Linked DNA regions of Oryzias latipes. The protein of the gene in region 7 purifies or fractionates together with the protein of the main gene of each other region. This does not show direct contact. Links are inferred from orthologs where the notes say so. Each region holds a gene or a part of one and is shown on either strand. Other genes may lie near its edges. The genes, in order: xrcc1, ilf2, ssb, hnrnpa3, supt16h, myef2 and sox2.

What was found.
Region 1: the proteins of sox2 (region 7) and xrcc1 purify together in Homo sapiens (affinity purification with mass spectrometry; 3 studies listed by BioGRID and IntAct, with this or other methods). This does not show direct contact. The link is inferred for Oryzias latipes from reciprocal best matches to the Homo sapiens genes SOX2 and XRCC1.
Region 2: the proteins of sox2 (region 7) and ilf2 purify together in Homo sapiens (affinity purification with mass spectrometry; 3 studies listed by BioGRID and IntAct, with this or other methods). This does not show direct contact. The link is inferred for Oryzias latipes from reciprocal best matches to the Homo sapiens genes SOX2 and ILF2.
Region 3: the proteins of sox2 (region 7) and ssb purify together in Homo sapiens (affinity purification with mass spectrometry; 3 studies listed by BioGRID and IntAct, with this or other methods). This does not show direct contact. The link is inferred for Oryzias latipes from reciprocal best matches to the Homo sapiens genes SOX2 and SSB.
Region 4: the proteins of sox2 (region 7) and hnrnpa3 purify together in Homo sapiens (affinity purification with mass spectrometry; 3 studies listed by BioGRID and IntAct, with this or other methods). This does not show direct contact. The link is inferred for Oryzias latipes from reciprocal best matches to the Homo sapiens genes SOX2 and HNRNPA3.
Region 5: the proteins of sox2 (region 7) and supt16h purify together in Homo sapiens (affinity purification with mass spectrometry; 3 studies listed by BioGRID and IntAct, with this or other methods). This does not show direct contact. The link is inferred for Oryzias latipes from reciprocal best matches to the Homo sapiens genes SOX2 and SUPT16H.
Region 6: the proteins of sox2 (region 7) and myef2 purify together in Homo sapiens (affinity purification with mass spectrometry; 3 studies listed by BioGRID and IntAct, with this or other methods). This does not show direct contact. The link is inferred for Oryzias latipes from reciprocal best matches to the Homo sapiens genes SOX2 and MYEF2.

Annotation. Positions count from the first base shown.
Region 1 is NC_019874.2:25,083,158-25,087,597, reverse strand, and holds part of xrcc1 (DNA repair protein XRCC1), read right to left. Parts: intron 3,641-4,440; coding exon 3,524-3,640; intron 1-3,523. UniProt on the Homo sapiens protein: Scaffold protein involved in DNA single-strand break repair by mediating the assembly of DNA break repair protein complexes. Negatively regulates ADP-ribosyltransferase activity of PARP1 during base-excision repair in order to prevent excessive PARP1 activity.
Region 2 is NC_019869.2:21,694,369-21,697,946, forward strand, and holds part of ilf2 (interleukin enhancer-binding factor 2), read right to left. Parts: intron 3,545-3,578; coding exon 3,479-3,544; intron 2,996-3,478; coding exon 2,879-2,995; intron 2,428-2,878; coding exon 2,349-2,427; intron 2,268-2,348; coding exon 2,180-2,267; intron 1,970-2,179; coding exon 1,908-1,969; intron 1,825-1,907; coding exon 1,710-1,824; intron 1,526-1,709; coding exon 1,435-1,525; intron 1-1,434. UniProt on the Homo sapiens protein: Chromatin-interacting protein that forms a stable heterodimer with interleukin enhancer-binding factor 3/ILF3 and plays a role in several biological processes including transcription, innate immunity or cell growth.
Region 3 is NC_019879.2:21,749,281-21,752,989, reverse strand, and holds part of ssb (lupus La protein), read right to left. Parts: intron 3,167-3,709; 5' UTR 3,160-3,166; coding exon 3,100-3,159; intron 3,024-3,099; coding exon 2,920-3,023; intron 1,860-2,919; coding exon 1,685-1,859; intron 1,403-1,684; coding exon 1,295-1,402; intron 1,199-1,294; coding exon 1,095-1,198; intron 365-1,094; coding exon 293-364; intron 211-292; coding exon 168-210; intron 1-167. UniProt on the Homo sapiens protein: Binds to the 3' poly(U) terminus of nascent RNA polymerase III transcripts, protecting them from exonuclease digestion and facilitating their folding and maturation.
Region 4 is NC_019879.2:22,672,214-22,676,450, reverse strand, and holds part of hnrnpa3 (heterogeneous nuclear ribonucleoprotein A3), read right to left. Parts: coding exon 4,197-4,237; intron 4,059-4,196; coding exon 4,011-4,058; intron 3,894-4,010; coding exon 3,753-3,893; intron 3,665-3,752; coding exon 3,548-3,664; intron 2,172-3,547; coding exon 2,107-2,171; 3' UTR 2,092-2,106; intron 1,991-2,091; exon of another isoform or gene 672-1,990; 3' UTR 1-671. UniProt on the Homo sapiens protein: Plays a role in cytoplasmic trafficking of RNA. Binds to the cis-acting response element, A2RE. May be involved in pre-mRNA splicing.
Region 5 is NC_019876.2:21,325,976-21,330,940, forward strand, and holds the start of supt16h (FACT complex subunit SPT16), read right to left. Parts: upstream 3,438-4,965; 5' UTR 3,144-3,437; coding exon 3,078-3,143; intron 342-3,077; coding exon 249-341; intron 171-248; coding exon 1-170. UniProt on the Homo sapiens protein: Component of the FACT complex, a general chromatin factor that acts to reorganize nucleosomes. The FACT complex is involved in multiple processes that require DNA as a template such as mRNA elongation, DNA replication and DNA repair.
Region 6 is NC_019861.2:13,063,208-13,067,305, reverse strand, and holds part of myef2 (myelin expression factor 2), read right to left. Parts: intron 3,446-4,098; coding exon 3,438-3,445; intron 3,346-3,437; coding exon 3,252-3,345; intron 2,429-3,251; coding exon 2,240-2,428; intron 2,122-2,239; coding exon 1,968-2,121; intron 1,895-1,967; coding exon 1,845-1,894; intron 1,766-1,844; coding exon 1,705-1,765; intron 1,333-1,704; coding exon 1,231-1,332; intron 930-1,230; coding exon 885-929; intron 802-884; coding exon 712-801; intron 599-711; coding exon 503-598; intron 320-502; coding exon 260-319; intron 1-259. UniProt on the Homo sapiens protein: Transcriptional repressor of the myelin basic protein gene (MBP). Binds to the proximal MB1 element 5'-TTGTCC-3' of the MBP promoter. Its binding to MB1 and function are inhibited by PURA.
Region 7 is NC_019862.2:18,600,365-18,604,097, forward strand, and holds sox2 (transcription factor SOX-2), read right to left. Parts: upstream 2,136-3,733; coding exon 1,167-2,135; downstream 1-1,166. UniProt on the Homo sapiens protein: Transcription factor that forms a trimeric complex with OCT4 on DNA and controls the expression of a number of genes involved in embryonic development such as YES1, FGF4, UTF1 and ZFP206. Binds to the proximal enhancer region of NANOG.

The DNA.
Region 1 (4,440 bases), on a different chromosome or scaffold from region 7:
TTTAAGGAGGAATATTTTAAAAGCAGACTGGAGAGGTAAGGAGGTGCCGTGCCTGCCAGTGACTTAAAAGTAATGACCAGAAATTTAATAAAAACCAAGTATAGCACTGGTGGCCAGTTTATAGAGACCAAGGTCGGTGTTATGTGGTCAAACTTCTTTGCCCCACTGATAAATCTGGCTGCTTGGTTTTGGACCAGCTGCAGCCTGGCTATTGATGTCCTGGATAACCCGGCATACAAAGAGCTGCAATAATTTAGTCTGGACAACACAGAGGCATGGGTGACAATTTCAAGGCTCGTTTTCGATGTAAAAGATTGAATCCAAGCCAAACGTTGCATCTGACAAAAGCAGGACCTGGTCACAGTGTTTACTTGGAGGTCAAGCTTCAAGGCTGCATCGAGTTTCATGACCACAGACTGTTCAAAAGGGGCACTAGAGAGGAGATCAAGACGGTGATCTTTAAATTACACGACAGAAAATACTTCCTATTTAATCATTGGCTAAATTAAGTAATGGTTTCTTTTTTTAAGAAGAATCTGAGCCAACAGATCTTGGCATTTCTAATAAAGACAAGTGAAATCCCGTTTGTTAGTTGGGTCGACACGCTTCTTTTCAAGGTTTTTTTGTTTCTGTCTGGAGAATTTATGGAAAATAGTGTCACTATTTATGTTTCAGATCAAAGAGCACATATTAAAGCCAAGTTGACTTTAAAATGCCTTATTTTATCAGTTGTCTTGAAAAAAGTAAAACGTTTTGTAACCATTTTGCACCTATATAGAGAGAAGGAGAGAGAGAGAGAGAACTCCCTGATAGAACTCCCATCAACAGATTTTAAAATAATTTTGTGGATCAATTCAGTTTTTATCATCTCTGTCTATTTAGGTATAAGTACTGTATAAGTACTACGAAAAACCTTTCAGTAAATCCAATAGTAATTATTAAAGACCCTATTTTAATCGAGTTCCCAGTGGGTTTTTTATTATGATTTTGACGTTTTCAGCCAAAAATCCCATCTTCCTCTTGAGGCTCAGACACTGCAAAGATGTTTAATAACTTGAGCAACTTTAGATCCCTGGATGGGTGAGTCAACCCCCCCATTCAGCCCCAATTAGACCACTGAAGTCTGCAATCCCCACCTCCTAATGGCGAGGACAATCTTAAAAAAAAGTCCTTGATGACTTACTTGAGTGGCTCAAAGTTAGTTACTTTTGAGACATCTGTGCTTTTAATTTCTAAAACTTCAAACGTAAAAGTACTTTAAAAAATACACATGTGGCCACACCTCACTTCTGATTTACACCCAGATAAAATCCTTCTTTTTTTAAGATAATGGCGACTAACAAGTCTGATGGTAAAATATCTCTAAAACCCACTTCATGCAATATAAATATACATGAGATGTCCCAAAAGATTCCATCTTTGTAGGTGAGCTTTCTTGGTCATTTTCTCCTCTAAAACCTCTGGCTCAATGGCTAATGACTGTGTGTGAAGCATAGCGGGGGTGCTCATTAATGCATACGGCGAGTCGCCAGCACGCGCATCAGGGGCTCAGACGCCGCACATTTACCTCCAGATGCTCAGCGACAGCAGAGTGCCCCGTGAAGCAACAGTTTGAGGGTGAGCGCGTCGATTTGTTTGGCACTTACCATCATCAAAGTAAGTGGTGCTTTTAATTACCCATAGCAGATGCAGGCTTTAAATAAAGGATACATCATCAAAGCTGTACACTCCACAGGCGGCACAATAGGGGTGCTGGGCAGGGGAATGGATTATTCTTACAACAAGAGAAATGGGGGGTGGGGGGGAGAACTGCAGCCATATTTCTCCACTGCTGTCAGAAAATGATGAGAAAGGCGAGCACAAGGGAGAAGGAAAGCCCAGGTTCCACTCAACTTATTTTAACTCGTTTTTGAGAATTTTAAAGGAACTGAGTCCAAAGCCCAAAGCGTTATTTATTTATAACCCTCCGCTCCCTCTTTGAAGGCCCTCTTGCATGGATCATGGGGAAAACTCCTCATCATTACACCGGCTGCCCCGGCCACAAGAGACTCCCACAATCACGTGACACGAGAACTGGTGCAAAGAACGTGATCTGAAGCCTAATTCAAATACAAACCTGAAAATGATTCCATGTTTTGTTTGTCAAATCATTCTGTCATCAATAGATTCAAAAAGAAATTCACACCAGAACATCCAAAGCCCATCGTTAGTAAAGATAGATAGATAAATCCATTAATTATACAACTACCGGTACTCTACCAATGAAATTATCATTGATGTTCCATAAAACCACAACAAACAAAAACATACAATACTGGAAAATAAAAACTTTCCTCTTTAGTATCAGATTATATTTTATTGATTAGGGGTGCAACCGATTACAAAACTCCCAGTTTGAAAGTTTTTCTTTTGTCAAGAGTATAGAGCAAAAGGATTTTGACTCACAAGTTCTCCATTTCTAAATCCCAGTTCTTAATGAGACAAGAAATTCTCGACTGTGCAGATTTTGAGAAAAGCTTGTAGAGCAAAGATAAGTTAAAACAACTTCAGGATAAAATGTCCAAAAGCAAGATTTTAAATCTTTACAAATATCAAATAGCTTGGAGTGTTGATCTGTCTTTAGTGTTACAGCTGATTTCCAAAGACATATTCTCCCCAAAGCCAGACAGAAAGTTCAAAACGTTAAGAGGCTGAGCAAATAAAGGATTTGGAATTTCATCCATCGCTTTATTTGGTTTGTGGGAGAGTTGACATGATTCCATGTGTTTAGCATTGATGTCTGCAGCAAAGCAGTTTCGGAAAATGATTGCAACCCCCCCCCACCCCCCACCCCCTCTACACTCTACAGCCAGCTGTCAGGATTGAAAGGCCTGCTGTGACCCAAAGCACATCACAGAAGGTTTTTGTCCGGACCTCAACAAACTGTGTCAGCTTGTGAATAAGGGGCATAATATATTTCTATTAAAGTCAACCTTGGAGAAACTGGGAGGAGCAAAGCGTGACAGAACAGCCTGATATTACAGCAAAGGCTTATATTGGAAAATACAGGTCCAGGCCAATGAATTCCTCTTCTTTAAAGAGATGAACCTTTATACCTACATTATTCAGTACACAACGATTTCTTCTTTTTTGAGAAGTGCTGACAGAAGACCTTGATGCTGCAAAAGCTCTCCCTGTAATGAGGCATAAAATTAGAGAGCTGCTGGATCTCAGTGGGCTGACTGTGATCACAGCGGGGCTCATCTGCTCAAGGTTACCACGTTCTCTGCAAAAAGTGGGAAGCCCTGCTGCGGGAGACTGTGTGATCCAGAGCCACCGACATGGCTTAAACACAAGTATTAATCAGATATGCATTTGCAGAATAGGCAAAACACATGTTCCAGGCTAAAGCCAAGCGCTCGCCGTGCTCCGGCGCCCTTTTAAAACTGACGCAATGTCCCATCCAGCTGTTCGTCTGGCTGGGTCCACAAACCGGGCCTCTATAAGAGCAGTTTCACTTGAAAGAACAGAACCATGTTCTCACCGCTTAAAGGAGATCTTCTGTTTCCTCTTGTGGCAATCCAACACCCACTCCTTCCGCACGATGATGCCCCCCGCCGATTTCACCTGGCTGTATTTGGGGGTGTTGGCGAAGGCGCAGCTGAGGATTAATGGGGCAACGGGACAGATGTGCACAAAGAAAACACGGTTACATCACTACCGACGAGCCCACAAGGTCGTTCCATCACTCTGGCAGCTTGAAGGAGGCCATCAGACGGAATTTATGTAAAAACTGACACAGATGTTTCGCAATCGCACAATCTGTTTCAGTGATAAAAAAGACAAATGAGGTGAAGGACATCTAAAAAAAATAATAAAAAAGCAACACTAGAAAAGGACTTCTGCATTTTAAAGATAAGATTTCCTGTTTTTTATGACTTGCTGGGGTCATCATGGTCACCCCGCTCTAACACTTGCAACTATTATTCAGAAATATTTAGAGGTCATTGAAATAAGTGAATAAATATCAGCCATAGAACTGGAGGAAGTAAAAAAAAAAGCTTCCTGTTTTTCATAAATAAAGGTGTATTTTGCTTATCTTCATCATATGTTCATATCTTGAAGTGCTGCAGATTATCCAGGAGTCTGTTCTTGGTTTATCTCTTTACCCTGTCCTTGTAAAACCACGTCTCTGCGCCGCCCCTTTCTCCTCAGTCAATTCATGAGTAATGCCTGTTTAATGTGGCAGTACTATAGTTGATGTAAAAATGCAGTTTAACTTAAACCTAAATAGTCAGATGAGCAAATAACACTTCATGGCTGCAGGAAAGCAGCAAACTAATAAACTGCATGAGGTGGATTCCTCATTAGGGAGCTAATGGCCCATTAAATGTAACGTTTGTTGTGTAAAATGAGGATTTTGTCTTGCTTTAGTGCTTATTTCGCTCACAGTGATAGTTC
Region 2 (3,578 bases), on a different chromosome or scaffold from region 7:
TTTGTGATAATTGTGGCAGAAAAAGCTGGAACCTGCAGCTGTTTTTTGTAAAAGATGTAATAAAAGTTAAGTAAAAGATTTAAAAACTGTTTTATGTGTGTTCGTTGTGGTTTCAAGCCGTCAAAGGAAGATTCATTGTACACTGAGACATTGTCAATTGTCACAATTGTCAACCCAATGCATCATGGGAGATGTCTCTGAGCTTCATGGTTTTGTTCACTTTTTCCACGGTCTGACACCGGATTCTGTGGAAAGCTACACCGCTAAAGATGAGCTTTAGCTGGTATTTTTGTTAGAACTGAGCGACTTTATGAGCTACATCGGGACAAGGAAGTGAAGACTTTAACCACTTCTGATTGGTCAGACGGATGACATGTGATTAAGCCTTCAAGAATGATTGGCGGAGACAGTTAAAGGGGCGGGACTTTTCCGTAAACTGTTATAGCAGGTAAATCGCGGTACCGTCATTCTTATCAAAATGTCTTTAATAGAATTAAATAAACACAAAGAAAAAGTAATTTTACGATCTTTCATATTCCTAACTACTCAGTGTTTTATCAGGACCTTTTTGGATGAACACAGAGCTGATATCCTGGAGATGGTAAATGATTTTGGATCAGTTAATGAGGGCAGTTTCCCACGGCACACCTGACCATCTCCAACAGCACACTAGTGTGCCGCGGCACACTGGTTGAAAAACACTGCCCTAGAGAGTGCAACAAAATTAGGGCTCTTTTGTGGACGTGTGATGATTCTCCGCCATGCTAGCAGACAGTCATATGATGCCACATAATTGATCATGGCATCTTTGCAATGTCATATTCATTATGCTTTTCTATTCAAATTCTTGGCTTTATTCAAAACAAAATCTGTTTTTCAGAACTTATTCCAGTAAACTGAAAATACTTTTACTTTAATGATTTATTTACTTCCTTGTTTGCTTCCTTACAGAATGAGCAGTGTTGAAAAAGAAAAAGTAAAAGCCTATAGGCGGATTTATTTTTTCTTTCGAGTCAACAAAGGCAGCTTCATTGTGAAAATGAAAAAGCATTTCGGGTATTGACTTATTTCTAATTATGAGACAAAAAACGCTTCCATAAAATGCTGCAACGGTCAATTTTTTAGCAATCTGCTGCCCTGGACTTTTGTAAATAACATGAGGATGATAGAAGAGGAGGTGGGGTTACTGTGGTGGTGTTCCCTGATAGGCTAATGGTCCTTTGTTTTGAAGCCAAGGTGTCAGATGCTGCAGCTAGTGGGGAGGAACATTCAATCAGGCTTAGCTGGAGCTTTAGCTCGTCATTTGTGGCCCCTGTGCCAAATCCATTGGAACTGGCGACAGAGTCATGTTTGAAAGTAACTAATTTAGGGACACCTTGAATTAAAGTACAAGACTTTTTTCATTAATCCCTCAAAGATAAAAAAAAATCTTACAGCTGGCGTCTCCGTCAAGGCCAAGAATCTTCCTGTATCCTCCATGGGAGAGCACCCTGACCAGTGTCTGAGCTGTGAAACAAACCATGTCCTGCAAACACAAAAAAAGAGAAATATTGGATCAATCCACGCGACAGACATTTTGTTGGCTTTCCTTTTATCTTGACTGCGTATTTTCCACATTTTTCCACATTAACTATAGCAAAACAGAACAAAACTACAACAAAGACACCTCTTCATGCTCACAATGAAGCAGTAAAGCCAACCGGGTTTACCTGCTGCTCCAAAGTCATCACTGTGTGAACTCTAAAGTTCCCACTTTCACAAGGATCTGTGATGCCCACAGAGCCAGGCAGGAAAAGCCCGGCAGCCAGCATCTGCAGGCAGCGCCTTTAGGGAGGCAGAAAAGGAAAGGGTGACTTGTGTCGTCGCTCATTTTAAAGAAATCACAGCCGTCAAGAGATAACACCAACCTGTAGGCCACGTTCAGGGACAAAGGCTGCCTGGAAGGATTGTTCATCACTGCGGAGTGGCCCTTCAACGAACCATAGACTGAGATTAGCAGGGCTTACTACAGTTTCACTAAAGAAATGGTTTCAAAATGTTTGTACACACACACAACAAATGTGCAATATTGTTTATGCTTAATTGAAAAAAAAAATGCGTTATGGAAAAACTAAATGTCAGTTCCTGCATCCTCTTAACACGTGATTCTTGTGCTTGTGTATTTTTCAGTGTGATTTACCAGCAGGTCAATAATCCAGGGGGTGAGGGGTTCAAATCCAGGGAAGCGCAGTCGGAGATCTTTCAGGAGGCGAATCAGAACTTTGACCCTGAAGATCATCAACGTGCAACAGTTCACAGATACTCATCACACGTCAAGAAACACAAAGAGAGACGAGCGGGGCGCTCACGTCGACTGAGAAGCGTTCTCCTCAAACCAGCGGGCGTGGCGGATGGCAGCCAGAGCACTCTGCAGCACTCGGATGTCCACTAGAAAGAAAAAAAACGAGCATTTTTGTGGTGGTAAAGTGAATGTGTAGAGCCTCCAGAACATCAAACCTCCACCAGAATTATGGATACATTGACAGCTCCACTCAAGTTTCTGAACCCACAGATGTTTATTTGACAGATGTTGGGAGAGGTCCAAACTGTAAGTCTACACCGATTTATTGTAAAATATCAACACTATAAGTTATGAACTTTTCACTCAGACAGAAACACCAATCTGCTAAATAATTGGTTCACTATAAGAGCCGAAGAAATCAAAAATTTAAAGAATTAAAACAATAGATTTTCATCAACAAAGAATCATTTGTCAAACTTTAAAGTCAACAAGAAGTAGATGATTGCTCAGACCACATTCTTCAAACAACATTGATCAATTATTTCACAAGCCTGCCTCATTCCTATAAAAGTGCTGTGCGGGTGTGCGCTCTCTTACGATGTAACTCTGGATCCAGTTTGCGCAGGTTGGGTGGAACGGTGGTGATGAGAATCTTAACTGTAGCATCAGCCGAGCTTATTTCAAATCCGGTTTCATTGGTCAGCATGGACAGAACTGATAGGAGGAGCACACGCAGAAAAACAACAGTTTTAGTCACCCACAGTTAAACACAGTTAACAGAAAAGAACAACACAAATCAGCACAGGGTTGGGGTATTGAGCATCTGTAAGCTAGCAGGATAGCGTGTGGACAAAAGTGACGATAGGAAATAAGCGGAGGTTTACTTCCGCGCCCCACCCACAAGTTAGAGGCGAGTTTCAGATGAACTATTGCCGCTCTGCAGAAAATGTCCTAGAAAACAGCAGGTTTTTAGAATTTTGGCTAAAAATTCTATAACCATAATTAAAAGACCACTGGGAACGATTTTACAATAGATCAAAAGATGATTGATGTAGGACTTAAATTATTTTTTATGCTTTAAAAAAAGTTCCTGCAAATCTTACAATAGCTTTAATAAATTTTCAGAAGCAATTTTTAGGGTAAACTTGTAAATCACGTTGATGCTTTAACTCATTGAAGGAGATCTCTGTGATTTACCTTCAGTAGGGTCCTGGGTGCGGAGAGTTTCCACAACCTTGTTGCCAAGAGCAGCAACAGCCTCCACTAAAAAGAACAAAATTATATTTGGACATAAAGA
Region 3 (3,709 bases), on a different chromosome or scaffold from region 7:
TGTCGCTCTGCAGAAACTTTGTTCTAGAAAACGACAGTTTTACCGAAAAAAACGTAGTAATTTCAGCCAAGCATTTTTGGTGCAGAAATGGAAAAAAACTATGCATTTAAATAATGTGCATTATTCACACATATGTCAAGTATTTGTATAAACTCGGGGCAGCTTACCATTTCTGTTTCTTCAGCATTTTTTTGTTGTTGCTCCCTTTCCCTAAAGAAAAAAAAAAGTATTAAATGAGATTCAGTTTTCAAAATAAAAGCTACCAATAAGTATATAAAGCAGGCGTTCCTACTGTCTGGCTTTAGCTTTGGTCTCCACTTTGAACTGTTTTTTCTCTTTTGCCTTCATTTCGTGGTAGGCTTCCCTGCAAGAAACATGTTAAAATAGTTTCAATATTTGGAAAAGCCACAAATGTAACAACCATCACCAAAGAACTAAGTCGAACATGAGTGAGGGATTGAATGGATTTCCAGCTAAATCACAAAACTGTTAAATCCTCCAATTCTTTACTGTAAAGATCTACTCTCATATTGGACTGATGTCGGCTGCTTTCTACTTGAATTTAGTTTTTTTTTTTTCATTTTTATGAGCGGTAGTGTCAAATGGCTGTTTGTGTTTGGCAACAGAGCGCTGTGCCTGTATAATAGTCATGGAAGAATTCTGCTAAAAAGTCAAACTTTATGAGGTTTGAACACACATGGCTTATGCATCCCACACCACTTTGTAACAGGATTTTCAGTGTATTATCCGACTATATGATCACCTAACTCACATAAATCTGATTGCACATTAAAAAAAATACAAACCCTAAATGTATTGGACAAGGTGGTGAAAACCAGCTTTTATCAATGATTGGTGAGGGACGGATCCACTAAAGAATCTTCAAACTTAATCGTTTTCTAACCTGGTTTAAATCAACTCAACGGTGTTCTTTGATTTCTGCATCACTCCTTTCACAAAAGTAAAAAGTAGAGGCTGTGTGGCTTGATTTATAGTTTAACTTTGGATTTTTAAAAGTTTCCCCTTTTGCAAAAGATAAAATGGCAGATTTTATTGACAGATTGTTCTTAAACACTGAAAGGCAACAAACCTACCTCGACAGCACAAGCATGTCATTGTCTTTGAATGATTTGATGTCTGATCGCTCCAAAAACTGTTTAGCCGATTCTTCACTGCCAAAGCATACGAACACAGACCCCTGGAATGACAGAGAACTCATAAGTAACCTCGCATTTGATACTAATTTGATATAATTATTTAAAAGGTAACGATGAGTGATTCACAGCAGATTTACCTTGAACTTCCTCTGCAGGGTTCTCCTCATTTGAACGTTTTCCACGTCTCCTTTGTCATTCAGCCACTCCTGGATCTCATCCAGAGTTGTTTCAAGAGGAAAACCTTTCTATAAAGGGGGACAAAAAAAGATTTAGAAATAAGTTTCAAAAAGTGTGACTACAAATACAAAAGCTGTGAACATGTAGAGTAAATATACAGCCTGGTTGGTAATGACTTTAACTGTATCACGATCCCATAATTTCTTACATCACTGCTATGATTTCTCAATGGTTGTCTTATTTCTGTTCATAATATAAAGACCTTTTGTAGTCTGGATTTAAATACATTTCTAAAGATGCACACTGGGTTTATCTAGAAGGAGGAATGTCAATACAGTTTAAGAACTCACAATGTACACAGATCTGTGTTTTACTGCGTCTTTGTATTCATCGTTCACTTCTGGTAAAGGTTTGTCCGGTGATCTCCTGACTTTAGTCTTGTCTTCGCTAATTTCCAAGAGGCCGGTCTTTGATTTCTGCAGAGCGGAGATGATGACGCTGTTCTCTGTGGTCAAAGACTTCAGTCTAAAAAACAGAAACACACCAGTTTCAACAAAACCATTGACGAAGAAAAGAAAACAACATGACTCTATGGGATTTCTATAAAGAAAAGGAAAAAAAACACTCAAAATCTTTTCTTTTTACAGCTGAATTGTTTCAGAGAATACATGAGTTGGTAAAAGTAAACACAGCAAATATAAACTTCATACAGCTAATGTGAGTCTTCTGTGAGTCAATCCATCAACATTCCCTTTGTTTGTGGAATCGGTGCATTTCAGCTGTGTTTAGATGATCTGGGTGACACTTGGAGTTATGTCTTTTGCTGAAGCAACACTAAATGCCCTTTAATCTTCTTCCACAATAAAATGTAAAGAAAAAAAAAACCATCCAATGAAATCAAATGTTGTAGATAAAACATTTAACCTCTTTAATAAAATGGGTTAAAACAGAAAAATGCCATCCGAAAAGCAGCATAAACATCTGAACTGGAGTTATTCATTTACATGCAACACAACTGTTTTCAATGTTAACCATCCTAGAAATTGCTCTGTCTCCAAGTCTATTCTGCTGAATGAGGCAAGTGATGAGAAATAGTTCTTTTGCTTCTAGTTCTCCACAGTCCTGAGGAGCAGCAGTAAAGGCAGCAGAACTTTACAGGTTCAAGGTGAAGGACTGCTGCCTCCTTCCCTGCAGATCTGCATCTGTGAGCTGACCTTTTAACCTATAAACTAAAAAGACAAAGGTCATGCACATCAGTTGTTAAGGCTGGGATCGAATGATGAGCCAGCCTGCTCTCAGATTATACGATTTAAACGGAATGTAACCTGATTGTGTAAATGCAATCGTCTGGTCAGATAACATGAACTGTGATATGTTCAAAAACAATCATCTAGAAAAAAAAAAAAATCCTAGAAATGGATGCAATCACAGTTCTGACTGAAGAGGGCGCCAAAGAGCCCAACAATGTAAAGTTCCTTTATTTCCGTTTACACAGATTTTAGGACAGAGTTGGTAAAGGACCAAAAAAACGTAAAAAAGGAAATGTTTACTTGGAGTTGGATGCTATTAAAAAAAATAAAACCACCTGTTGAATTTCAGCATGGTCTCCAGGGTAACCCAGCCATCATCCAGCTGCAACTGCTCCTTCAGGAACCGATCTCTCGGAAGGTTGTGATCTCCAAAATAATACTTGGTAAGAACAGAAAACTGATTTAAATATAGAAATGCATACACTTCCTGAGAGTACATTTGAAATCTCAATTACCTCCAATTGTCTCGCCACTTTCATCTCAACTGGAGACATTTCTTCTTGGTTTTCAGCCATAATTGTTCTGTAGAAAGCAAAAAATTAAGATGCCAGTGGATTCAAAATGTTTGATCAAAGATGCTCTCACTATATTACGTAGATTTAAATTCTTTTACTGCTCCATCTTATCCCCATGGGGGGGGGGGGGGGGGGGGAACTTGTTTTATTCCAATAATATTAAAGCTCATTCATTAGATTTTATTAAAAAAAAAGAAAAAAACATTTTTACTATAGTATACAACATTCTAAAGTTCCTGTGATATTCTTCTCAAATGAATGAATTAATATTAAAGCTTTTCCAGAAAATCTAATATTTGATTTCTTCACATTTAATAAAAACAAGAAATTCTGGTGTTATTTTTGGTGTTGGAGCTCAATACCATTGATAATAGGGTAACCATGGCGAAACATCCACCTCTACCTACTCCTATCCTCTTCATCCTCCACCAAAACCAACCCCTCTCATGTCCTTGAAATAATATTGTTTTTTTTTTTATTAAAAGATTTTATGCTGAGAAAATAATCTCTTTAGTTAGTTGCAGACATAGACTCCATTTATCTTTGCTAA
Region 4 (4,237 bases), on a different chromosome or scaffold from region 7:
TTTAATTAATTGAATGGCCAATTGTTTGAAAATTGATCATGGAGAAAAAATTATCAAGTGCGGTCTGTGACTGGCTGGAATTCTATAACACCAAGTCTTTCATGCATCGGAATAGAGCTGTGAAAGAAAAATCCTGGAGCAAGATTGGCGAGATTTGCGGCGCTTTGACATTTCGCATGAAGACTCTACCCACCGTGGCAGACATGAGTTAGTAAACAGTAGGAAAAGAAGAAGCCCCTCCCTGCTTATCCAGTGTGAACACCATGGGCGCACTTTTGAACACACGTCACACGCCCGGTGTCTCCATGGCTGAAGACAGTCTCATCTTCTCAGACCTGCATGTTTAGTGTCAGCTAAATATATATTTATGTCCAGGTTTTTAGATTCATATCTTCTTGGTCAGTTACCTTTGTACAGAATGTTTCTAAATCACCTTTGAAAATTGAAATTGAAAATTTGGTCATTCAAAGAACCTGAATGACGACTTAAGAACCCTCCCATTCTCACCTTAAGTCTATTTCCCTGTACGCCTTACCACACAGTACATAATCAACATTCAACCTTGAAAAATATTTACAAAAAAAAAAAAAAAAAGTCTTACCCATCCAGAACTTTCCAAGTTATCAGGTCTTTACAGATTTTCGGCAAGAAGAGAATGCCCAAATCCACATCTGTAAATCAAGCAAAGTGGTTACTCTTACCTGATCCATCTTCTCAAGTCAGCTTTTGTGAAATATTGGCTCCCTTTTCTTGTTCAATGTCTGACATCTAGTATTTGCAGGTTAAACTGCTGTATCTCACTAAACAGGATCTTCAGTGAGTCCAGGACCTAGTCTTTCTTGGCGAGAACCAGCTGCTGGAGTTTAGCTAGCCTTGGAAAAAGACAGATGCTCACTACCAGGCATGACACTGCAAACTTCCTTCCATGGCCGTTGCGCTCGATGCTGCCTTCTCCCTTCTCTCTCAAAATGCTGACTGGTCCACTGTGCTGGGGCTGAAGTCGTCCTGTCTGATTGTCATCCTCCACACTAGCGACGCTGAGGGCCAAACTGCAGGAGCTTGTGGTTCTCATACTCCTACCTTCTCAACACTGGCAAAGCTGCACTCGGGGCCCTTCCCTGGAACTATTCAAACCTCCCTTTTAAAATGGCGACGGTATCCGTGAAAGCACAGAATATTGCACATATGAACAGACACCATCATGTTTTTCATAACAATCCCAAATTTGGGACAAGTCAGAAAAGGCTGATATGCTAACCACAGTCACAATGAGCATGCATGCTTTTTTTCCGAACCAATGATGCACTGAATCTTGTGTTACTTTACTAAACAACTTTATTCAGTCGTTTCTTTCACTAACCAAAAATACGGGAACAATCTGGAATCTGTTTCAATGGAAGAAATGAGAAGTGCGGGATTCCCTTAGTTCTAATCTAAGCTGTTTATTTCTGTTGACACTGACACTATGAAAAAGTTACACACTGTGCTTTTACATACAAATCAATACACACTTGACACTTGCAATTCGGAAATAATAAATTAGGAGGGAAGAAACAACTACTTCTGGCTTTTGAAGGGCCTTTTATAACTATGCTATCTGACAGTTGCTAAGATCAAAAATGTATGTTTAACTGGTCATTATGATAAAACTAACCAATATAAAAAATTTAAACAAAAATATGTAGGACTTAAAAAAAGAAAGAAAAGAAAGAAAATTTACCCCTGATCCAATAGGCACAATACACACAATTCAGACACAGAAAGGAAAACTTCCTCATTAGGTTCACATCTAGGAGAAATAGGAAAGGACATCGTCTGCACTCATGTCTTGTTCATACAGTCCTCCTTCCATACACTTCTTGGATAAGCTGCAGTAATGTCTGACTTCTGTGTTCCTCTACTGCTTTCAGATGACTGCCTCAAAGTAACCTGCAGCTTTCCTGACAACTCCTTTGCTCACCTCCTCGCCTCTCCTGCTAAGAACTGAAGCCTGTTGAATGGATACAGGATAAGACAAATAGTTAATCTGCACTTTCATGGGCTCACTCTGAACTGTGCTTCGAGGCTGCTGCCAGACTGAACGCTACTTACCAAAACAACCAAGAATTAATACCGCCGTGAGCCATAACCACCGCCGCCGCCGCCACCGCCACTCCCAGAGCCATAACCACCTGCAATTTGGAGTGAAAAATATCTTTATTATTCCCTCAGGGGAAACTACACTGCTGAGACAAATTATATCAAAGGGGTACATAGAAATAAAACTGTCAGTAGCTGCAGTTACATGGACAAAAGTAATCGGAATAAATGCCTGATCAGAATAAGAATGTGTCATGTAAACACGCCGTTCGGAATACTCTGCACCGATCAGCCTCATTCGGATCAATATTTCCTTCCGATCGAGATAGGAGGGTTGTGCCGATTGTTGATTCAATCGTGGTGCATGTAAACAATTTATTCCGATTGTGGGTCACTACTGCTGGCTTTTCTGTCATGCGTAGATGGTGTGGCGCTCCAGAGGCTTTGGAGCGCTAACAGGACCGGCCGGCTGCTCCGCGGGAGCAAACCATGTCTCTACGCAGAGCAGCCGGACTCGTAGGTTTGTGCGGGTAGGGGAGGGTGCTTTGTTACGGTGTGCGCTCCGGAGAAAGCTTTGTAGTCCGTCCGGCTGCTCTGCATGAGCGAGCTGCTGGACTCAGGAGATACGTGTCTCCGAGCAGAGGAGCGGCTTTCAGAAGGTGTGTCAGCTGGCGGAAGCAGCTTTTTAAAGCAGAAATGCCGCTCCGAGCAGTCCTGAGAAACGAGCAAATAATCGCATGGATTTGTTTTTCCAATCATGTCCAGACAAAGTAAAGGCTGATGTCATTGCCACATATACACATTGCGGCATTGCCCGCATGGATTTTAAGTTCATGCACGGCCAAATGCTGTAGGCAGATAATAGATTAATCCTAACTCTTCTTCCGGGTTCGTGCAGCCAAGAATACAGCACTGGTCACATGAATTTAGAAAGCACTTAATAGTAATCATAACAATAACAAAAGCACACTTTGAAGATCATCTCGCTCTATGCTGTAGCTTTGTTTGTTTACAACAGAACTCGCTATTTCTTCTTCTACTGCGTTCTGGTATTTTAGAGGATCAAAAGTATGGTGTATGTAAACAGTGTGATAATCGGATAAAGTTTTTCTGGGACTATGTACACAGTTCAATTCTAACCTGATCTTTGATCCGATCAAAGACATTTTGCACATGTAACCGCAGACTAGGCAAATATGTATTTTAAGGAGCCACATATGTTATTAACTCAAAAAATCTATCATTAGTCAGAGGATTGAACCAGCTCAGTGTAATTATCCTGCTCCCCAATGTTAGTTTATGCTACTTTAAATCATGCTTTATTTGTTGCAGCACACAGTTAAACTGAAGCACTTTTTAAAGTGAAGTGTGGATCCTTATTATAAAAAGTCCTATTTTATTTGCATCTCAGGAAATTGTGTCAGTTGTTGTCATTGAAGACAATACCAAAAATATTGGAGCTTCTCACCACTATAGGGTCCACCAGAGTTCCTGCCACCAAAGTTACCTCCTTTCATGGGCCCATAGTTCGACTGCTGCCCCCCATAATTTCCAAAGTCATTGTAATTTCCACCACCTCCATAACCTAAAAATCCAATGCAAACATTTATTATAAACAAACAAAACATATCAAGTTTCATATGTTCATGACTTGGAAATAAGAGCATATTTACCTCCACTATTGCCTCCATAACCTCCGTCACAGTTGCCACCAAATCCTCCACCCTGGTTGCCATATCCTGGACCACCTCCCCCATAGCCGCCGCCTCCACCTCCTCTGTAGCCCGGCCCCCCGCCATAGTTTCCTCCTGGACCTATTGATAACAATTAAACCAGTGTATTCTTATAGGTGGAGCTTCCACCATTTTGATGCGCTGCTGGGGACACATTTTTAGGGAAAAATGATCACAAATCAGTTTGGTGTAACTCACCATTGTCAAAGTCATCCGCATAGCCACCACGTCCTCCACCATAACCACCTAACCAAAAAAGATTATATTAAGATTATGTTTCGTTTCCACTTCACTTGAATGCATTTTTGTAACCAAGTTGCAACATTTAGCACAGATTATTATTTTGTAAAATGTCTTCTCTATTAGAGCAAAAATGTGGCGTACCTCGTCCAAAGTTTCCACTGCCTCCAAAGTTCCCACCTCCT
Region 5 (4,965 bases), on a different chromosome or scaffold from region 7:
TTCTCTCTAGTGAGCAAAGTGATGGGCGGGGCTCCATTGGCGTTCTCGTTGCCTTTGGTTACAGCCACCTGTTTGAGGAAGTCCACCTTCTTCTTGCTGGCCAGGAAGATGATTTTGGTGTCACAAAACACCATGATGGTGTCCGTGAGCTCGTAGCCAAACAGCCAAGTCTGAGGGCCAAAAGCATGCCGGTCAGCTGAAAATACGGCGGCCCGTCTCTGGCCTCCCCTCAGACCCTGGAAGCTCACCTGTATGGCGGTGGATTTGGCGTACACGATCTCCTCATCGACCCCCACAGAAACTACGATGGCATCAATTTTACCAAACTCATCCTCTCCTTTCTAGAATGTACACAAAGACACACATTCATTGGAATTACGGTCAGGCTAAGCCAAAAAAAAAAAAAAAAAAAAAAAAAAGACTTTTTTCCCACTAAATGTGATTTCCAATGTTAACTGTCTTTTTTTTTTTTTCCTCCTTTCTCAGTATACTTTTTTACAAAAATGACAAACTACATCTAAAAAAAACTATCACTTTAACATCTCCTTTGAGAGTTCACCTGCTTCAGGTGTAAAAAACTAATTCGCTGTTGTTCTACCTTTGTTAGCAACAGTTTTCACACATTTTTTGCATCATGCAATTTGTTGCTCCAAGTCTGAAGTCACAAAATTGAACGAGTTCCATTTAACTGTCTTTTTCAGAGTAGAAGTCACAGTGAACTAGCACTCAGGAGAGACTTGTGTGATTTTTTTTTAACATGAACAGGCTCATATGTGTTATTTTCCCACCAACAACCAGTTGCTCTTCAGCGGTTGTTGCTGCTAGAAGGCACTGTAAGTGTATGCATCGGTATTTGTGACTGACAGCAACAGAGATGAATGAAGCAGCGTCTTTAAGAACAAAAAATGGAGGAGAATCTGATCGTCGTCTTCCTGAGCTTTGTGATATTTTTCTTACTTGCATCTAGACATTATTATTGTTTTTCATTTTTCCTTCCTCCGACTAATGCGGGACAGCAAGTCATCAAACTGGGTTACAGAGACGAGGAAGTACAGCTGAAAGCGCCATCATTCACACGCAGTGGAAAAAAAAGATTGCTAGACATTTTTTTTTTTAAAGGACTGAAAGGTCTTATGAACCCAGCCATGGAGATGTGTTTACTGAAGCTTTTGTAGAACTCTTCAAAATATCTCTTGTCGTTTCATTTCATTGTGAAAGAGTTATCCGGTCAATGCTTCTATGTAGCGATGAGGCTAAAAACTTGACAGTAGCTTCTACCACACGTGAAAGCGCCTCCAGCCGATGAACACATTTTTGGACAAGCATTGAGCATCTGCTTTGGCAGCAAACACAGATGTGACGCATGAATCGGGTTTGGTGTGAATGCAGTATTACGCCGGGGTTGGCAGAGTTGTTCTACAAACATATTCCGGAGCGATTTATATGTGGGGGGGTTTCCCCCCTTCTTTTCTATGCATTTTTTTTTTGCTGATGCGACTTGTGCTCCGGAAAAACGTATAGTCGGATAAATAAATAACTGGGGAAAAAACAGATCTGCTATTTTCATGTCTGCGCATAGCGAGAAATGGGCAGGCTGACCTTACTCTGAACAACAGAAGTCCAAGAGAGCTGTGAAAATAAAATCCAGATTTATCAATATACACACAACAAATTCAAATGTATCGATGAGATTGATTAAATAACCCAGCCCTCCACTCAGGTTTGGTGTGCATTCACCTTCTACTCCTCCTTTTTCAGGGATCTGACTAGACTAAGAGGCGTTATAACCTCAGCTCGGAACTTTCTGCCCTGAAATAAATGCATCTTTAGGTTCCCTGGATGATTCATAAAAGTACTACTGTGTTAATTAAAAACACAAACTTGGAAATGTGTTATGCATTCTTTAACATTTTAATCATGAACAATGGCTTTTGGAATCTCTCAGTCTTTAATGAGGCAAATAAAACACTTTCAGCTGCCCTCCATTGGAGTTCTGCTCCTTTACAAGGTTGGGTCAACAAAAAACTTTATTGAAATGAACACACTCTAAGGCATGATTAGACATTAGAGGAAAGCCATTCATGCAAGTTTGTGGCTTCCTCCCACAGTTTAGACACACGACTGGCCTAAATCAGAGTTTGGGTCTTGTGGTTCTGGGACTGATTGTGGGGGGGGGGGGGGGGGGGGGGTGCTGTGCTTGTCTTTGCAAGGGGCCACAGAGACCCTGATCAGGATGAAGCAGGGGTTGATGATGAATGGAAGACAATCTAATCCTGAGTTTGTGAAACAAATAGATCTAGGGGTTTGGTTGTGATGTTTGACCTTAAACTCCTCACAGCACAAGGGGCTTCTATCAGTAACTTAGTAACCTGTTACTCTACCCGAACCATAACCTAAAGTTTTCAGGTGAAAAAAGGCAGCATATATGAAGCTGAAACTTTGGTCTGGGATAAAAGTTCATCTGTAAGAATTGAGTTTCCAAACCCGCACATGCCGCAGAAACGAGTCCCATGCTGGCGCCGCGCGCTTCACATGGAGCCGGGATGCTGATGCTGTGATGCTAATTGTTAGCATCCTAGATTAGCATGTAGCGCTGGGACAAAGTGCAAACCGGCAGCAGCTGAACTTTAGCTTCAACTCACTCAGCCCTGTGATCGGTAGAACTTTATCGGAACCATTTCATTGAAATGTGTGTGTCCATTTCGATGAAGAGCGGCCATAAGCCGTCGTACTCCGTTAGCTGGTTGGTGAAGTTAACAAGTTAGCAGACTAGCTAACCCACTGACTGAATGAGAGGACCGCAGTGCTAACATGAGGCAGTCGCATGCGGGACCGAGGATCCCTGCGGGTATCTTACCAATGTGTCCTAAAAGATTCGCAAAACAAACACCGACCCGTAACTGCACGGTCTGGAGAACATCAGCGTTCGCACCCTCAACGCTCCGCTGGGTCCGGTGTGAACCCGCGGCTAACTCTCTCTGGGCTCCCACAGCGGCTTCATCATGTCTTCTGCTCAAAAATTACCTCTAACCGGGTTCTGCAGCACACCGACCCGCTCCGGGCCGAGCGCGGCTCACCTTCCAGTTGCTGTATAGCCTTTTGATGCGGCGGTAGTACGCTTCCTTGTCCAGGTTAACCGCCATGGCGAGCGCTCTGCTGCGAACTCCAGCTCCCGGCTTGGCCTCCCCAGCAGGCCGGATGAGGATGATGATGATGGTGAGCTAACAACAACGCACTTTCCTTCCACGCCTGCCGAGGTCCGAACGGCACTGACTGCAGATGCGCTCGGCTTTATAAGAACCGCAACCTTCTAGCTACGCGCTCATGCAAGAACCAGCGACGGGTTAAGAAAATGATCAAAATTACTCAAATTCAAACTGTTCATCTACCACTGTTTTCATACACCAATCAGTTATAATTAGACGCTCACCCCTCCCTCTCTACAGTCCGAGCCTTTTCCCTCCCCCTCTGTGCATATTCATCATTGAGATCAGTATACTTATCCACTAAATCTCCATGGTAACCATTGAATAAAAGTGTAAAGTAAGCCTAACAGAATTCAAAATAAAACTGCCATTTTTATTTTACTTCAACGCGTTTAATACATTTATTTTATTCATAATGACGTATTTTGTTGTAAACCGCAGTGTCGCCACAGCGCCCCCTGCCGTGTGTTGACTATCAATCTTTCCCGCCACGAAGGACCTTTCCCGCCACCATCTTCGAAAGGTTCTGCTGACGTAAATCTCGCGATACCACGTCCACTTGGCAGCCTCCAAGATTTGCGGGGGAAATTCAACAAGTTTTTTTTATTGAATCATTGTAAAATGTTAAAATCAAGACGTCTCCATCTTCAGAAAAACACTATCATGTCATGTTGAAACAACAGTAAAGGAACACATAGAGCACATCAAAACTCTGAACTCTTACATGAAATCAATTAAATGAAAAAATAAAATAAATAAAACAAAAGTTGTGAGGGGTTTAATCTAAGAGTTTAAACAATTGTAGCATATAGTAGCATATTGGATTTTTTTTCTTCTCCTTGCGGTGTTGGTATCTTGGTTATAACTTATATAACCGATTTATATGGGGTTTCATCTTAAAGAGTTTGCAGTTGTGGAAAAATTATTTTGTGGTTCAAATCAATCCTTTGATCATGAAGTCTTAATTTTTATTACTCAAGTACATTTTATTTCTAACAGAATTTCAATTTAAACAGTCTATTGTAATATTTTCACCTGTCAACCAATTATGAAAAAAAAAGTTTTTTTTAAAAAAAGCCTTGCAAAAAATAGACAAGGGTGAAAATCTAAATGCTGTTGAAGTTAATTTTTTTTTAATAAAGGTTAATAAATTAACATTAAAGCTTAGAATCAAACCATTGACTGTAAATGAGAACTGGATCAAGTGAGTGTGATATCACCCATAGAACATGACTTGCTTCTGTTTCCAATGAATTAAGGCTCATTCGGCTGCTAATTTTTTGATATACGGCTGTCGTGATGTTGGAACCAGACAATCGGTAAGCAGCGATTGGTCAAGTTGGCCTAAGTTTACATTTCTATGCTGACCCATACAGTCAATGAATCAAACTAAATTGGTTCTTGATCTGCAATCATGAGGTCAAAATGTATATTACAACATAAAATATTTTATTTCATGATTAAAAACATTTCCATGATATGTACAATAAATCAGACCAATAACTGCATCAATAAGTCTCATTGGGAAGTTTTATTTTTTCAAAGCATTTAGTCTCTGTTGGACTACTTTCACAGCCAAACGCGATTGATGTTTGCAAAGAAAACAACTGTTTTTCCCTCATGGTAAGTAGTGTTGTCAGAGCTGACCTCTTTTAATTTAAATTTACCTCTTCAAAAAAAAGACCTTTGAGCACAAATCTCCCCTTAAAAGCAAACTTGGCATGAAATTTAAAAAGGGATTCATGAGAACAGAAAGGTT
Region 6 (4,098 bases), on a different chromosome or scaffold from region 7:
TCTAACCACTACATGACAATACATCTCCATCAAATTGTATTCTTTAAAATACTTCTTGCTGCAAATATTTTTGTATTTTTCCAAGTTCTTTCAGCGTCACAAAAGAATAAAATAATGCAGCAAAGAACAAAAAATGTTAGAATTTCTTTTGTGAATCTACAATTATCCTATTCAAGACTGCTTCCGGAGCACTTAGGACTCCTTTTGATATTTCGATATATCACACATCTAAATAACATTTGTGACATGTGTCCAGTACCTAGTCCAGCTCCCATGTGGCCCATGCCACCACCGCCCATGCCGCCACTGAAACCTCCACCTAAAGCAGAGAAAGCAGGTTACTACAGATACTATGGAATTTTACAACAGTTTTACAGCATCTAAACCAACAATAAAGAGCAGAACAGCACATAAAGCAACAAGTAATTTTTATTTCTGAAAAGCAAATACACAGAGATGTGTAAACCTCTGTATGTGTATTTTAAGTGCAAATAAAACATACTCATCCCTCCAAAGGAATCTGCAAATCCTCGATTCATCGGCATGTCGTTGTGGCCAAAGTCTCGATCCATCCCACCCATTCCCTGTCGGTACATATCTTAAAAAAAAAAAAGTCTAATTATAAATAAATTCTCTGAAAACATAAATAATGTTGATAATTGTTAATATCTGTGATAATGTTTTTGAGCTACAAATATATGGATCTCTTACCTCCCATTCTGCCAGATGGTGCCATGTCTCGGCCTCCAAAGCCACCCATGTTGTTCATGTTATCCATGCCTCCAAAGCCGCCTCCACCTCCTGTCAAACCCAGTGTCAAGGTGAACTATGACTCCTAAACATTTGTGTCTTACAGGAAATGAAAAGATAGCTGAAAACCTCACCTCCGCTGAGTCTGTTCATCCCACCATAACCAGAAGCATCCATACCTGGATTACAGAAAGCACCAATGAGAAAGCAGCACAATATGTTGGTTACTTTTTAATGAATTTTAATTCACAGGACAGCATTTCAGCCAAGTCTCATGTATGAAGCAAAACCAGCTAAAAACATTACACTTAAGTTTATGTTTCAGGACCATATTGAACCCATTTCTGTTAGGTTCAGACCCACTGGCAACTATTCACACCTCCCGGCTTATGCATTTGCCATCATGGCATGTTTTTAAAACTGTGTTGTAATGGATTTGAGGGGTTTTTCATTAATACAGTAAATCAAAAAAAGAATGACCTCCAGGTCCCATAGACCCCATCCCTCCACCTCCACTCAGACGGTTTGCATTTATGGGCTGGCCTCCTGGCCCGAGACCCATGCCAATACCACCCAGACCCCCTGCAGGGCAAAGATAGAAGACAGACACATCCACTTTTAACTATAATAGATAGAGTGAATAACTTTTAGTGATCACAGTGATAGATTTTTTTTAACCCAAAGTCATAATAACTTTCAAACTCAAACTTTTTCTATAAAAGGAATTTTTGATTATGCTTTAATGCAAAAAGCAAAATCTTCCCATCTATTCAACAGATAAGAAAACAAAGATTTAAAAGAAAAGATTTAACATCACCGTCAACACAGAAAATGTCCTACAAACACATTAAAATACTTCAATTATTCCAGCAGGGGGGCAAAACTCTGAAAACATTGCTATAATGTGTTCATGGAAGTTCATACAAGTATATGCAGCTTAATAAGTGTACCCACGTGGTAACTGCGGGGCTTTCTCAATGGGAGGGAAATCATCAGGAGGGAGAGACTTTTCATCCTGGAACAATGAGATCAAATGATATCTGGGCTTGTTTTTACTGCTTTACGCATTTCAAAAAGAAAACAAAAAAACTAACCATTTTAACATGCATCTGCCTGTCGAAGAGCATCTGTCCATTAAACATAGCTGAGAGCAGAGTCAAGGAAACTAACATCAAGGAATGTTTTCTTTTGGAAGAAATATGTTTTTTTAAGGATACAAATAGCCTGCACAGCTTCTAGTGGCTGATCAAAGGTCACGGTTCCCATCCCACGACTCTTGCCATCTTTATCCTCCTTCACATCTGCTCGTTTCACCACACCTGCCATGCCAAACACCTCCTTTAACTTCTTCCAGCCCACCTTGAAATCCAACTGCAGATGAACAAAAATAAGTAAAATTTGTTGGAGAGAAAAAAGGATTGATTGCTTAATTTAAAAAAGAAAAAAGAACAAACTACAACAACAAAGAAAGAGAGAGGCTTGTCCTCACATTAGCAACAAACACTGTGTTGCCAAGTCTTCCAGCCTGCAGACCATGGATAACCTCAGGTGGGATATTAGGGTTGTTTGCAATGGAAGGAGGGAGGTTCATCCCTCCAGGTCCCATATCCTGTCCACGACCTCCCTGTCCACCTCCTATGCGCTGTAACGCACGCCGAGCATGCTCCCCGTCAGGGTCCTGAAACAAAACAAGTAAAAATTGAACACATTCAATATTATCGAGGAACAAACTTAAGATTAAATCTTCCAAATACTCTGTAGTCTATTGCAATTAGAATTGTTGCCAAGAAATCCTTAGGCATGTGACTGACAAGTATAAAATACCTTAAAAGGGAAACTGTCCAACATTCAACAGCACACAGAGTAAACTCTTTTTGAAAGATGGAAACCTGCTAGTAGTTTCATTCTTAACATTAGTTAAAAATTCCTCCTGTGCAGTTGAGCCACAGACTGTGGATACTGATCTATTTTTGAACATCACTTTCAACTAGACAATATTGTAGAGACACTTGAAAGCAGAAGATAGAGTGAAGAATCAATACACATTTATAGCTAGTTACAAGCATTTTTGGTGCACCAGTAAATATTTCAATATCTTCAGATTCCATGAAGTCTAAACTTCTAAATTCATTTTTGTTTTATTATTAATCAAACATAAGACGTCTCTGCCAAATGTTTTAACAACATTGCAATTATTATCATAACATAAACTACAAGAAAAAAAAAAAAAAACATTCAACAACTTAAAAGCAACTGCAAAACCACCACTGTGTCTATTTTCTAAAACTTTTAAAGTTTACACGCTGCTTATTTTTGAATATTTGCATAACTGAGTTAAGCATATGACATCATGCATTACCTGCTAAAACAAAATAAGTAAAATATCAAAAAGAAGAAGCTAAACCTTGTTGTAATTATTTCATATATTAAGCCAAACAGCAGATAGCAAAGATTAGCTTCAAAAAAGGTTTTGTAATATTTAGCTAGAATCTCATTCTCACCTCTTTTATGTTGAGTGGTCTTCCATTCAGGTCATGCTTGTTCATTGTCAAGACTGCTTTCTTCACAAACTCATCATCTTTGAACTCCACAACACTGTTGATTGAGACAACAGGAACAAAATGAGCAAATGAAAGCCACAAAACCAAAGTTTGCTTTCAAATCAGAATAATATTGCTGTGTCTTACCCACAACCCTGATCGCAGGACATGGCAGTTGAGGCGGCACACAAGGAACAAATAAAAATATGTTTAACATTAAGACATGAGAAACCATGACAACATTTGAATTGTAATGTGTTAAACATGCTTCTTCTATTTCTTGGGTGCATTTTGGCCATTATCACTAGCTTAAGCCAGCTAGCTTTTAATTAAATTGTTCAATTTTAATTGTATTAATTTTAATCAAATTAAAAGATAAAAAGCTATTTTCTAAAATAATTTAAGACAAATGTTTACCTAGAATACATTTTTTTAAAACACCAAGTTATGCATTGGAAATTAACTTATTATTTTTCTTTCTTTTTTTAATGGCAAGAAAAACATGCCACCATTTTACTGAGTACATTGTTCAGTTTTAACCAATTTAGTCAAAAGGGAAAGGAAAAACGGTGGTTCACATTTAAATAGATACAAGAAACTTAAGCAGTTTAATGTGAAACATAATGAAAAAACACTAGAAGATCTTTCAAGACTGTTTTGATATTGAAAAAAACTCTGTTTCAAATATTTTTGAAACATGAGGGTCAATCAATCAGATAAATCACACACCCCACATTTCCATTTGGAAAATGGCCAAACAAACAAACGTTTAGGTCAATTGAAATAACAACAGCAAAGCCAAAAATGT
Region 7 (3,733 bases):
GAAACTGGCAACAAAGTTTGGCACCACGGGGCCATCCGCAGGCACTGGAAAATAGAAACGTGGTTAACCACGACGCACACGCTGGATGAGGTAACCAGTGGTTGTTTCTGAATGTTAGTTAGGCTTTAGACTAATGCTATGAAATGATAAAATAATGATTAAAAAAAGGCCAGACTGCGTAAAAATGGGGAAAACATACGTGAATACCTGGCAACACAAACATGTGATGACTCCCTGCACACATATGAATAACAGAAACCAAATCAAAACTCATACAATTTCAAGTATCCAAATTTCCAAAATTTATTCATTTCAAACTGCATATTGAAAAAAAATATACTCAGCTGAAATTGTAACTGTTATAAGGATGGTATTAGTTCTCGTAATATATACATGGAGTGGTTGGCTTCTGCGTACAGGCCACAAGTTTTCAAAATACAACTACGGGAATGAAAATTTTCAAATTAAAATATCACAGTAAATATACAGAAATTTTACAAATCAATTAGAAAATAATGAGCACAAGCGTCATACCGCTAACAGCTGAAAAGTGGGAGACGGAAATATAAATTAACAATCTAAAATTGATATTGTATGACAAAAAAAGAAGTGTCTTACATTTTTAATGAAATAAAAAATGTTTAGTAATATAGACCTTAAATGAAAAAAAAAAATACCTGCATCTTTTGTCCCTTTTTATTCCAATGTTTTAATTGGAAGCATAACTGATCACTTCCATTACTCTTGTTCTGCTATTTTTCACTTTTAATGTTCTCTGCAGAACCAGCTTTATATATATATATATATATAATAATTAAAAAAGGAAAATAAAAATGCAACCTCTTGCAGATTAACAAACAATTTCATCTGATTGTAATGTTTCTTTGATAAATACTGTACAAAAGGTGATTGCAATAATAAAACATTTGATTGCGACTCCCACTTTCTAGTCTTCCAAACTTCATCCAACAGTGAAGAGGGGATCTACCGTTCCTCTATGCTTCCTTAGGATAAAAGGAAAGAAAAAAAAGTCCCTTTTTTTCTTGAAGATTTCTATACAACTTTTTCTCACCCATTTTTTTTCTGTACAAAAATAGTCCAACATTAAGTAGTCCACAGTAGCTTTTATAAAAGTCTGCTTTTGCCCCCCTCCTGCGCTCTGTCCCTTACATGTGTGTTAACGGCAGCGTGCCGTTGATCGTCGTCCCGGGCACGGTGCTCTGGTAGTGGCCGGACATGTGTAGCCTGGTCTGGGCAGTCTGCTCGCTGACCTCCGCCCCGGGCAGGTACATGCTGATCATGTCCCTCAGATCACCGCTTTGGCAGCCCGGGGCGGCCCGGTGAGACGAGGAGGTGACGACGGGCGGGCTGGAGCTGCTGGACTCGGACTTCACCACCGAGGAGGGCCCCATGGAGCCCAGGGCGGTCATACCCGGCGTGGTTTGCTGGGAGTAGGACATGGAGTACGTCGGGGAGCCGTTCATGTAGCTCTGGGAGCTGGTCATGGAGTTGTACTGCAGGGCGCTCATGTCGTAGCGGTGCATGGGCTGCATCTGGCTCGGGTTGTGCGCGTTCAGACCTGCGTGCTGGTAGCTCAGCTGGTCCTGCATCATGCCATAGCCCCCGTTGGTCCAGCCGTTCATGTGCGCCGCGTAACTGTCCATCCGCTGGTTAACCCCACCGCCCAGGCCGGCCCCTACCCCGACACCGACCCCGGTCCCCATACCGTTTCCTCCAGGAGCCAGCAACCCGCCCGGTAAGGTGTATTTGTCCTTCTTCATGAGGGTCTTGGTTTTCCGCCGGGGCCGGTATTTGTAATCCGGGTGCTCCTTCATGTGCAGGGCCCTCAGCCTCTTAGCCTCGTCGATGAAAGGTCTCTTCTCGCTCTCTGACAGAAGTTTCCACTCTGCGCCCAGCCTCTTGCTTATCTCCGAGTTGTGCATTTTGGGGTTTTCTTGCGCCATCTTCCTCCTCTGGCCTCGGGACCACACCATGAAGGCGTTCATGGGTCTTTTGACTCTCTCCGGGCTGTTTTTCTGGTTGGTGCCGGTGCCGGACGTGTTTGTGTTCCCCGTGCCCCCCGTGTTGGTCTGGGGAGCAGGGGGCTTCAGTTCAGTCTCCATCATGTTATACATCAGGGAAAATTTTAACTTTTCGCTGGGAGCTCCCGAGCAGAAAAAAAAGACAAGAAAAAAAAGAAAAAAGAAAAAAAAGGAGCTTCTCTCCAGAAGCTGAGCGCAGACAGAGGAGCGCACGAGCGCTTTCAGTTACCTGCCGATTTTCTATGCAACTTTTCTCTGGACAAAAACAACGAGCATCAAGCCGCGCGTCTCCGCACACTCTCCCCCTCTCACTCCCACTCAGCGTGTCACACCGTGTGTGTGTGAGTGTGTGTGACAGAGAGCCTTCTCCCAACACGTCCCGGCAATGTTGTGTCCACAAAACTTCTCCCGCGGCTGCTCGCAAAAAGCATCAACAAACTGTACTTTTTCGCCTCAGTCCGCCTGAGCCTTGACAACTCCAGATAGTTTTTGAACAAGTTAATAGACAACCATTCATGTGAAGGGGCTGTCAGTGAATAAATGGCTTCGGCCTGACCAATCAGAGCGAGCCCCGCGCGCCAATGGGAGAGCGTGTGGTCGGAAAAGGGCGGAGTCTGGAGCGCAGCGAGGCACAGGCGTACACTCCGGCTCCTGCTGCCCATATCAGACAATACTAAGTACATATTTACTATTTCATCTTGCTTGTGGGAATTTCTATGTTTGATAGCGCTTTGTGAATACGTTACACCTTTTAGGTGGAAGTTTATACGACGCAGAGATGCAGCATTTTCAAAATCAGAAATTACTTTTTTGTAACTTTTAAAAGCTCAAAATGTAAAAAGTTAATAAGTACAAGTAAAAAAAAAAGACTACTTTTTGAATACGTTTTTAAAATTAAATTAGACATATTGAAGCAACATGACACTATTTCTTTTAAAAAAGAACAGATTTATTTTTATTCTAAATTGTTTTTTAGATGAAATATGAGGCATATCCAGACCAAATGAAAAAGCCACTTAATCAACCCTACTTAATGGCCCAATAACATAACACGCAAAGAAACTTTGTGAGTTAACTCACTGAAAGCTCTGAACAGCAGAGCTGTGGGGTGAATGTGTGCGTAAAAGAAGGTGGAGAGGGGGGGGGTGTCCACGGCTCGTTTTTTAGCCTTGAAAAGAGAAAAGGTAATCCAAGATGTTTCCCCCAGTCCTTTTGTTTAGGTGAAGTTGAATGCCAACACACACAGAAGGCAGACGGCCTCATCTTAGCACAAATAAGCGCGTTTTGTTTGGGATGTTGTCGCTACATCTGTCCGGACAAAGACCCCAACTCCACTTCCACTTCCACAGTGCCAGCGCTGCAGTTACGCATGGGTCTTTGTGGCGTGGTACGCGCACCGGAGACACGAGACAGGGACCGAATGAAAGGTGAGGAATATTTTAAGATGAAAGTGTGTTCGCACAAAAGATCTACACATTCATAGGAGTTCCAACAAGTGTGTCAGCCAATTAGTGGGAATCAAAACGCGGCCTTCACCTGCGCTTCAATTAGTCCTGGATCAAGAAACGGCCAGACTGGGATTATTGTGAGGTGAAGTTGGAATCAAACGCAGTGCGAAATCAAACCACATACTCGCGTGGCTCAAACAGACAGAAAACAAGTGAAGTTTTATGAGGCTGAAAGTGTTTGTG